Mus musculus: one gene and its partner. The protein of the gene in region 1 interacts with the protein of each later gene in a pairwise test. Links are inferred from orthologs where the notes say so. Each region holds a gene or a part of one and is shown on either strand. Other genes may lie near its edges.

Region 1 (4,358 bases):
AGCCTCACGGAGCCAAAGCAAGGAAGCAGCAATGGCTCCACCCCTGTGAGGCTGTTGTGAGTAACAGTGGTGATGCTTCAGTTCCTCAGGGGAAGACTGGATGTTCTGAAAGATGGCACAACTCAGAACTCACAAGAGAGAAAAATGCCGTGTGCTGTCATATGCCTGTTGTCATCCTTGTGACAAGTCCCAGGCCAAGCAGGGCTACACAGTGAGACTTCACCTCAGAACAAACAATAACAAAAGGCCTATTGGCTTTTCAGTACTTCTTATGCTGAACATATTTTGCACACAGATCAAATCCAAGTGTTATTATTAATGCTCCTGTGATGAAACCAATCCTTTACTTCTGCACATAAACTCTTCTCAAAGTGGCCAAATGGACCCGAAACCATTTAAACTGGGAACACTTAGAAGTAAGGCTAAAGGGCCCCACTACACCCTTTAGGCATGTTATCAATATCTGTGATAGTTATTTTTGGTTGTCCATTTGACTACATCTGGATTTCACTAAAACCCAAAAATGGAAGAACACATACGTGAACAATTTTGCCTACTCTGAAGTGGGAAAACCCACTGCTTTGTGTTTTTAAGAGGATTTCTCAGTGTAGCCCTGGGTGTCTTGGAACTTGCTCTGTAGACCAGGCCTGCCTCTGCCTCCCCAGTGCTGGCAAGCTGGCTTGGTGGAAGATCCACTTTGAATTCACATCTTTGAGGAGGGAGAACACACCTTTGTTATTCAAACCTATTCTTGTTATTCAAAGTCAGAAGATGCACCTTCTGCTGGAAACTAAAAGAAAGACATGAAACAAGATTTTCCTCCCTGCCACCCCCAGGACAGGGCTTATCTGTGTAACCCCGCTTGTCCTGGAACTGACTCTGTAGACAACGCTGGCCTCAACTCATAGAGCTTCGCCTGCTTCTGCCTCCACTGCCAGCCTGCTTTTACTCTGCCTACTTGCTCTCACTCTCGTTGACAAGTCCGCTCCTTCACTGTCATTAGCGCCTACTTCTTTGGGATTCTGATGTATAATGAAGACCAACTGAGACATCCATTCTTGTTGACTGAATGCCTACTGGAATTTTGAACCTTCCATGTATACAGCCACATATATACTATTTTAAAAATAGAAATCCAGTATTAACGGAAAAATCTTGCTAAGCCCCCAGGCCTGTGCAATCTTATGCAGACACCTGGGTGGATCTCTAAATCCCTTCAGGTCTACTGACTCCCCAGGGTTCAAAACCCCACTCCTTAGCTTCTTACTCAGGGTGACACCTCACACTGCCACTAAGAGGCTCGCCAGAACACTGCCTCTAGACAAAGCCTAAACATGATCTGAGTGACCGGCGTCGCACCCGGTGGGCGTCACGTGACAGACTCGGCGTTCCTCCAATCGCTGTGCGAGGAGCGGGGATTCCATCTAGTACTTGGCCTCAGGTTTACAACGTCCTGCTCTTCCATTCCCCAAACGGGCCGGCTTTTTGCTACCAACCAGCTAGCAGTGATTCTCAAGTGTTTCCCTTTCAAACAGCTTCAAGGGGCTCGGGCCTATAGCGCACTCAGCTCCGGAAGTGACGTCTCCCAGAGGGGCCGGAAGTGGCAGTGGAGGGAGGGAAGATGGCGGAGGTGGTGAGTCCGGTGCCCGGGGCGGGGCGGAGGGAGCCAGGGGAGGTGGGTAGAGCCCGAGGCCCCCCAGTAGCCGACCCTGGCGCCGCGCTGTCTCCCCAGGGGGAGATAATCGAGGGCTGCCGCCTGCCCGTGCTGCGGCGCAACCAGGACAACGAAGATGAGTGGCGTGAGTGACGTCGGGGGGCGGGTCCAAGGAACCTGAGGGCGAGGGGCGGGAGGGAGTCAACGATCGCACGGGAGGGGGAGGGGCTTCTGCAATCCCGGGGCGGTCGCAGATACTCGGGAGGAGGGGCGTGGCTTTTGGACGTACGGAGATGATCCGGGCGGGGCTTGGAGAGAGGTGTCACTTGGTGACTAAAGGGGTCTTGAACCAGCCCCTCTGAGTGCTGGGACACAGGCCTCCAGCCTGGAGGTGGGATTCAGGTCGAAGGGTGGAGTCTCCTGACCTGCCCTGGCTAAGACTCCCTGTCTGTGTGGTTCTCATAGCCCTGGCTGAGATCCTGAGCGTGAAGGACATCAGTGGCCGAAAGCTTTTCTATGTCCATTACATTGACTGTGAGTCCTGGGCCTGGATGGAGTGGGGTTGCTGGAGAGGGTTGAGGGCAGCCTCTGGCATTCCCTCCTGAGCCGTTTTCACTGCTGCAGTCAACAAACGTCTGGATGAATGGGTGACTCACGAGCGGCTGGACTTAAAGAAGATCCAATTTCCCAAGAAAGAGGCCAAGACACCTACCAAGAACGGACTTCCTGGGTCCCGCCCCGGCTCTCCCGAAAGAGAGGTGGTGAGTAGGTCCCCCATTTCATCTTTTCTCTCCTGCCTCTTCCTTCTTGCATCTCTTGGCCTCAGGGGTTCCTGAATGGGCAGGAGGCAGCATTCTTCTGCCATGGCTTCAGCTTGCAAAGGATGGGGACCAAGTTGCAGGCGTAGCTTCCAGAGTCCAGCACTGCCTTGCTTTAGAGAAGGCAGAGGGTGGGATTCCATGCTGAGGGGCCCATCCCCCCCTTCGCCATCCCACCACCATCCCCACCCCAGAGGAAGACCCTGGACCTATCTCTGCAGCCGGCCTCCGCCCAGGCCAGCGGGAAGACCTTGCCAATCCCGGTCCAGATCACACTCCGCTTCAACCTGCCCAAGGAGCGGGAGGCCATCCCAGGTGGCGAGCCTGACCAGCCGCTCTCCTCCAGCTCCTGCCTGCAACCCAACCACCGCTCAACGGTACCCTCAGCAATTCCAGGGACCTTGCTTTCTTCTCAGGTCCCACCTTCTCTACCTTCTGACCCACCTTTCCTGGTTTCTCTCTGCAGAAACGGAAGGTGGAGGTGGTTTCACCAGCAACCCCAGTGCCCAGCGAGACAGCCCCAGCCTCGGTTTTCCCTCAGGTGAGTCTTCCAGTCTTTTTTCATGTGTCTGAATGTTTTGTCTGTGTTTTGCATGTGTTCTACTTGCATGCCTGGTGCAGGTGGGCAGAAGAGGGCATTGGAGCCACTGAAACTGGAGTTAGAGATGGTTGTGAGCCACTCTGTGGGTCCTGGGAAAAGAACCCAGGAAGTCCTCTGGAAGATCAGGGCTCTTAACCACTGAGCCATCCCAACAGCCTGCCTGGTCTTTCCCCTCTTATTCCTTGCTGTCTAGCATCCTCCTCCAGGATCATCTCACGGTCGCTCTTTCTCTTGTGTCTTGTCCACAGAATGGGTCAGCCCGTAGGGCAGTGGCAGCCCAGCCTGGACGGAAGCGGAAATCTAATTGCTTGGGCACTGATGAGGTGGGTCTTGAGGAGCAGAGGGAGAGGGAAGCCGGGAAAGGGGGAGTGGGCTTGGGCATGGTGTTCACTCGGTGAGGCCTTAGGCAGGGAGGGTGGTGGCTGGGAGCCAAGCAGATGAACCCCTGGGCCTCTTCTACTCTCAGTTTCTCAGCCTCGCTTTATTTTGGAAGTGGAGGTTGGTGCTTTGCCCTTAGCTGATGTTAGACTTGCAGGAAGAAGCCAATGGCAGTGTCGTGCGCCACGCTCTGCTTAACTGCTACCATCTAGTATTTGCCATCTGCCTTGGGCAGGATTCTCAGGACAGCTCAGATGGAATACCGTCAGCACCACGAATGACTGGCAGTCTGGTGTCTGACCGGAGCCACGACGACATTGTCACCCGGATGAAGAACATTGAGTGTATTGAGCTTGGCCGGCACCGCCTCAAGCCGTGGTACTTCTCCCCGTACCCACAAGAGCTTACCACGCTACCCGTCCTCTACCTGTGCGAATTTTGCCTCAAATATGGCCGTAGCCTCAAGTGTCTGCAACGCCACTTGGTATGAGGGGTCTTGGGAGGCTGCCTATCCAGAGTACCCTCACCAGTCCCCACCTGATCCTCCTTTTGTCCTTAGACCAAATGTGATCTTCGGCACCCTCCAGGCAATGAAATTTACCGCAAGGGCACCATCTCCTTTTTTGAGATTGATGGACGGAAAAACAAGGTTAGTGGCTTGGGCACGGCTGGGCTGGAGTGAGTCACATGAACAACCTTTTCCTGCTCAGAACAGTTGACCATTCTGCCTATGAGCAGGTCACTGTTTTTATTGAATTCTTGACACGGAGCAGGGAATGTACAGAAAACTGGGATTTAGAGAAATTTTCTTTCCTGAGAGGTCACTGTCACGGCAGAGCAGACATGACAGCTACTCAGGTTCCAGTAACAGAGGGGGTTCAGCACAGTTCACAGGAAGCTGTCATCA
Region 2 (4,051 bases), on another chromosome or scaffold:
TTGTTTTTTTAAATGCAAGTTTTAAGTGTAATATTTTTTTCCTGCAGCAAACACGAATTCATTTTTATAATAATCAAAAGGACATACATTTTGAAGTCTGGATTTTGGGGTCAATTAAAGTTAAGATTTATCTATTCATAAAGGTGTTAGGATAGTAACTAGCAAGAGCTATTGATTAGCAATTGACTGTAGATCTACTACCCATGGGTCTCTGAGGACATCACTGAAAGATAAGAATCTACTTAAACTGTCCAATGTGTGTGCAAGCATGTGCACGAGCGTGCAGACACGTATCCGTTTAGGGGAAGCCTAGGCCTTGGTTTTTGAATGAATGTAATGACATTCCCACGGACACAATAAGATTCTTACCCTCACAGAACTGTGAGGCTCCTACACAAAGCTCTGACTAGAGAGACTAGGCAAACAGAAATCCTGATTCTCCCCTCCGTCCTACACTACCCCAGTTCCCACAAGCAAACCAGTGAGGGCGTAGCAGGCCATTCCACGCACCCCTGCACAGAGTCAAATCTAGGAGGCTTTTATTACCTTGGCTGTGGCTGGTCCCCTCCAGTTCAAGTACTGCTCTAGTTCTGTGCCCTTCGCCCGGGCCCTGGAAGAGTCAAACACTTTTCTTTTGGACCCTTGCATCTTGCCACAGACGGTGGAGTGTCTCTGCAGCCTGAGGGAAAGAAACGATCGTCCACAGTGGCTGCACTTGGCCAGCTCTGGCTCTTCTGTGGAGGAGCTGGACCCAGAGGAGCCTGGTGTCCCGGACCGACTTGACTCCTGCAGTGTACTGCCCAGCTCCTCTGCCGGTTGAAAGAACGCGTCTGCTGAGGGTCCTGCGTCTTGATCTCGGATTTTACTGTTACTGGCCATCAGTCTTTCCCTTTTGAGCTTTTGGAGTTCATAATCAGAGAGCTGGCGTGGACTAGGGTTTTCCTGAGCCTGATCACAAGTTTGATCCTCTCCCCTGTTTCTACTGAATACCTCAGACCTGAACTCTGGGGACAAGCAGGGTTTGTGTGGGGTGTCATGGTCACCATCTCGAACCCTCCTTCTAGGTAGTACCATCCTTTGTAGCTCTCTGTCTTCCTGGAAAATGGCCTGTTTCTTTTCCTTCTGCATCCTTCGAAGACCCTCCTCTGTCTTCTTCAGCTTTTCTTGTAGGAGAATCTCCTTTCTGCGGATCTCCTTCTGTAAACTCTCCCCTGCAGCTTCGAGCCTTTGGATCTGGGTCCACTCGGTCCTATGGAGCTCCGCCACGACCTTCTCTGCCTGCACAGAGGCAAGAAGAGATGAATTCACCCAGCTCCTTAAACCAAAGCTGTTGTCTGAAAACTCACTTGAGTCAGGGAGTCTTGGGTAGCCATTCTGGTCCCCGTCTGCGCCCGCATCACTTGTACTATGTGACTTCCGGTGGACCATGGGTTTCAGTGGGTAAGCCCGATCCACTCCCACTCGTTTCCTCCTAAAGGGAATGAAGTCCTGGTCATTTGCTTTGGGATACCGGGGTGTCGGACTAGACAAGTAAAACAGACCCTTTCCTTGGCCCTGGGCATTGTTCCCTGAGCCTTGCTGCCTGATTCCTGCACTGTGGGGACAGGAGTGCCTCCGGGCTTTTGTGCAGACGTTCCTTTTGGGGCGGGTGGAGACCTCGTCCTCCTGCTCCATTTCTGTGTTGCTCCAAAGCTTCGACTGGAAACTATTCCTCAAATGTCCCATCGAGGGCCGCTGGGAAGAGTCACTTTGTTCGTAAGGGTCGTGCTTAGCTGAGTGGAGTCCAGGAGCTTCTGTTTTATTATGTGGGAACATAACGCCCACAGGCAGATGTGGAGCCAACTGGAGACCAGCCATTCAGTGCCTGGACCGAAGCCTAGGGGAGATTTAAAGCAGATACATGTGAAGAATTTGTCTGAGGTTCACTCCCGGCTGCTAGAGTAAACTGTTTGTCCATTTGCCCTACCCACATTCCCTTTAAACGTTTCTCGGGACTGTGGTGTTGGCTCTGCCAGGACATTCTTTCAATAAGCATTTAGGGAGTGATGGTTATGTGCCAGGCCAGACATTGCTAAGCCCCGAGGACCAAAGAATGGACGTGACACAGGTGTTCTGCCACTGACTTTCCTCCAGGCCTGTAGATGACCTGCTCTACACCATTTATGGAATGGGTGGGAAAAGCTTTAGATAGAAGGTCGTCCGTGACACAAAACAGGCAACCTGCTCTTACCAGCCCCGGGTTCTTGTAAATTGCAGAGGCCGCTCTGAGTCCAGTCCCACGGTTTTACGGGGTGAGAACAGTGGCCTGGCGACAGGGCCTGGCCCAAAGCACTCCCTGGACTTTCCCCTTGCTACAAACTACAAAGAGCACGAGCCACCCGGGCCTGAAGCAGGTGCCCGGCTGTCAAGCCCTCATGCAAAGATGCTCTATGGCTCAAACCGCACCAGGCTTGTAAAGAGAGTGTGTTGGGAGAGGGGGTGACAGACACCTGAGCGCCCCAGCCCGCTTTGGATCCGGAACTCCAGAGTCATGTTCTGTCCCAGAGGGTCAAACGGGAGTCCTTACTGGGACCCGGCCTCTAGGGATAAACTCTCACTCTCCAACCCCTCGGGAGGTCTCAGTATCTCCCCTTTCGGCGTACCTGAGGCGCTCGGGGGCCGCTCCAGCTCAGGGAAAATCCCCAAGACCTAGTTTTCCACACCTGACTAAACCCAACCGCCGTCCACGCAGGCGCTCTCTGTCCACCTCTGTTATCCCGTTGCCTGGAGACCAGAGCACCGCCTCTGGTTGAGAACTTTTAGCTCCAGATGTGCGCAGGCGCAGTCCACAAGCAATCCGAAAGCCGCCGGGGCAGATTGGGTTGGAGGGACGGAGGGAGGTGGTGGAGGGAGTGCGGGGAGGTGGGGAGGGAGGTGGGGAGGGAGGTGGGGAGGGGAGGAGGGAAGGGAGGTGGAGTACGGGTGCAGTCGGGTCACTTGTCGAGGTGCAGCCAACTCCGCAGCTCAGATCAGCGTTTCCCTTGGGGAGGGGTTGGAGAGGTTTTTCTGGGGCTACATCAAAGAAGAACTTGGATTTCTCCGAGAATGAAGCTCCCAGACCTTAGGGTGTGCCCTTGTCTGGAGAAGGGTGGAGCCCCTAGATGGGCTGCGGAATCATCCCGCCCCAGGATTCGGGAGTCTGTCCAGCTAGCGGGAGTGGGACTGCTGATCACCCTTCTGAGTGCGCTCGGCTACTGCGCTCAGGCCCCAGGTAGGGCTATGTAAGAGCTCCAGGCTACATGCTCCGGGCTGTCTTCCCTCGCAATGCTTTGGCGCTTGCTATTATATTAGCTTTACTATTATTTCACTACGTGTTATAGTCCCAGGGTAGTTTCTATGGCCAATCTAATCATTTTGCTATTATAACGTTTCACTCTCACGTGACCGTTACTACTTAGGGCCCAGGAATGACTCAGCCAAAAGTAACAATAATAAAGTTAACAACCAGATCAACAGTAATGAACATAACTTGATTTCAACATTAAATGGTCCTCTGTAACTTTTTGACAACAGAAGAGAGTTTATTTGTCTTCTTCGTGCTTCAGTTCATTTGGATAAGCTGTTTTGGAACAGATAGCTCCGTTTTTCTTGTAACTACACAGAAGATTCGAGCACGTGGGAAATAAAGTAGACAGCAGTCTCGTTAATACAACAGATCAGATGTCAGCTTTTATGCGCTACAAAAAAAAATTCCTTGGTGGACTCTCTAGGGCAGATTGTCAGTCATTCTTTTCATTCCCAGTTGGCTCTTCGGCCTTCTCCACATTGCAGAGGTTTCCCACGGACTAGGACCCTGCCTCAGTCAGCTTCTATGGGTTTTCCCATACATCTTTTCTAACTCGTTTCCATACTCTCCCCCTGAATCTCTAGTGTTCAAGTATACATAACTTCCTTGTGCAAGAAAAGTTCCCCTTCCCATCCCTGGGTCTGTCTCTCTCTGTGTTAGGATCCCACTGGAGTCTCTTCTGTTTTGTTTTGTTTGCTGTTTGTTTTGAGACAGGCTCCCTATTTA

What was found. The genes of interacting proteins can lie anywhere in the genome.
Region 2: the proteins of Kat5 (region 1) and Zc2hc1c interact in binary tests that used the Homo sapiens proteins (3 or more experiments, as listed by UniProt). The link is inferred for Mus musculus from reciprocal best matches to the Homo sapiens genes KAT5 and ZC2HC1C.

The regions. Positions count from the first base shown.
Region 1 is NC_000085.6:5,607,293-5,611,650, reverse strand, and holds the start of Kat5 (histone acetyltransferase KAT5), read left to right. Parts: upstream 1-1,556; 5' UTR 1,557-1,621; coding exon 1,622-1,633; coding exon of another isoform or gene 1,634-1,732; coding exon 1,733-1,799; intron 1,800-1,906; exon of another isoform or gene 1,907-2,119; coding exon 2,120-2,188; intron 2,189-2,278; coding exon 2,279-2,415; intron 2,416-2,666; coding exon of another isoform or gene 2,667-2,693; coding exon 2,694-2,849; intron 2,850-2,938; coding exon 2,939-3,013; intron 3,014-3,321; coding exon 3,322-3,396; intron 3,397-3,686; coding exon 3,687-3,935; intron 3,936-4,010; coding exon 4,011-4,100; intron 4,101-4,358. UniProt on the Homo sapiens protein: Catalytic subunit of the NuA4 histone acetyltransferase complex, a multiprotein complex involved in transcriptional activation of select genes principally by acetylation of nucleosomal histones H2A and H4.
Region 2 is NC_000078.6:85,287,377-85,291,427, reverse strand, and holds the start of Zc2hc1c (zinc finger C2HC domain-containing protein 1C), read right to left. Parts: upstream 2,838-4,051; 5' UTR 2,643-2,837; intron 1,877-2,642; 5' UTR 1,858-1,876; coding exon 547-1,857; intron 1-546. Other genes in the region: Acyp1 (acylphosphatase-1), read left to right, coding at 3,085-3,250.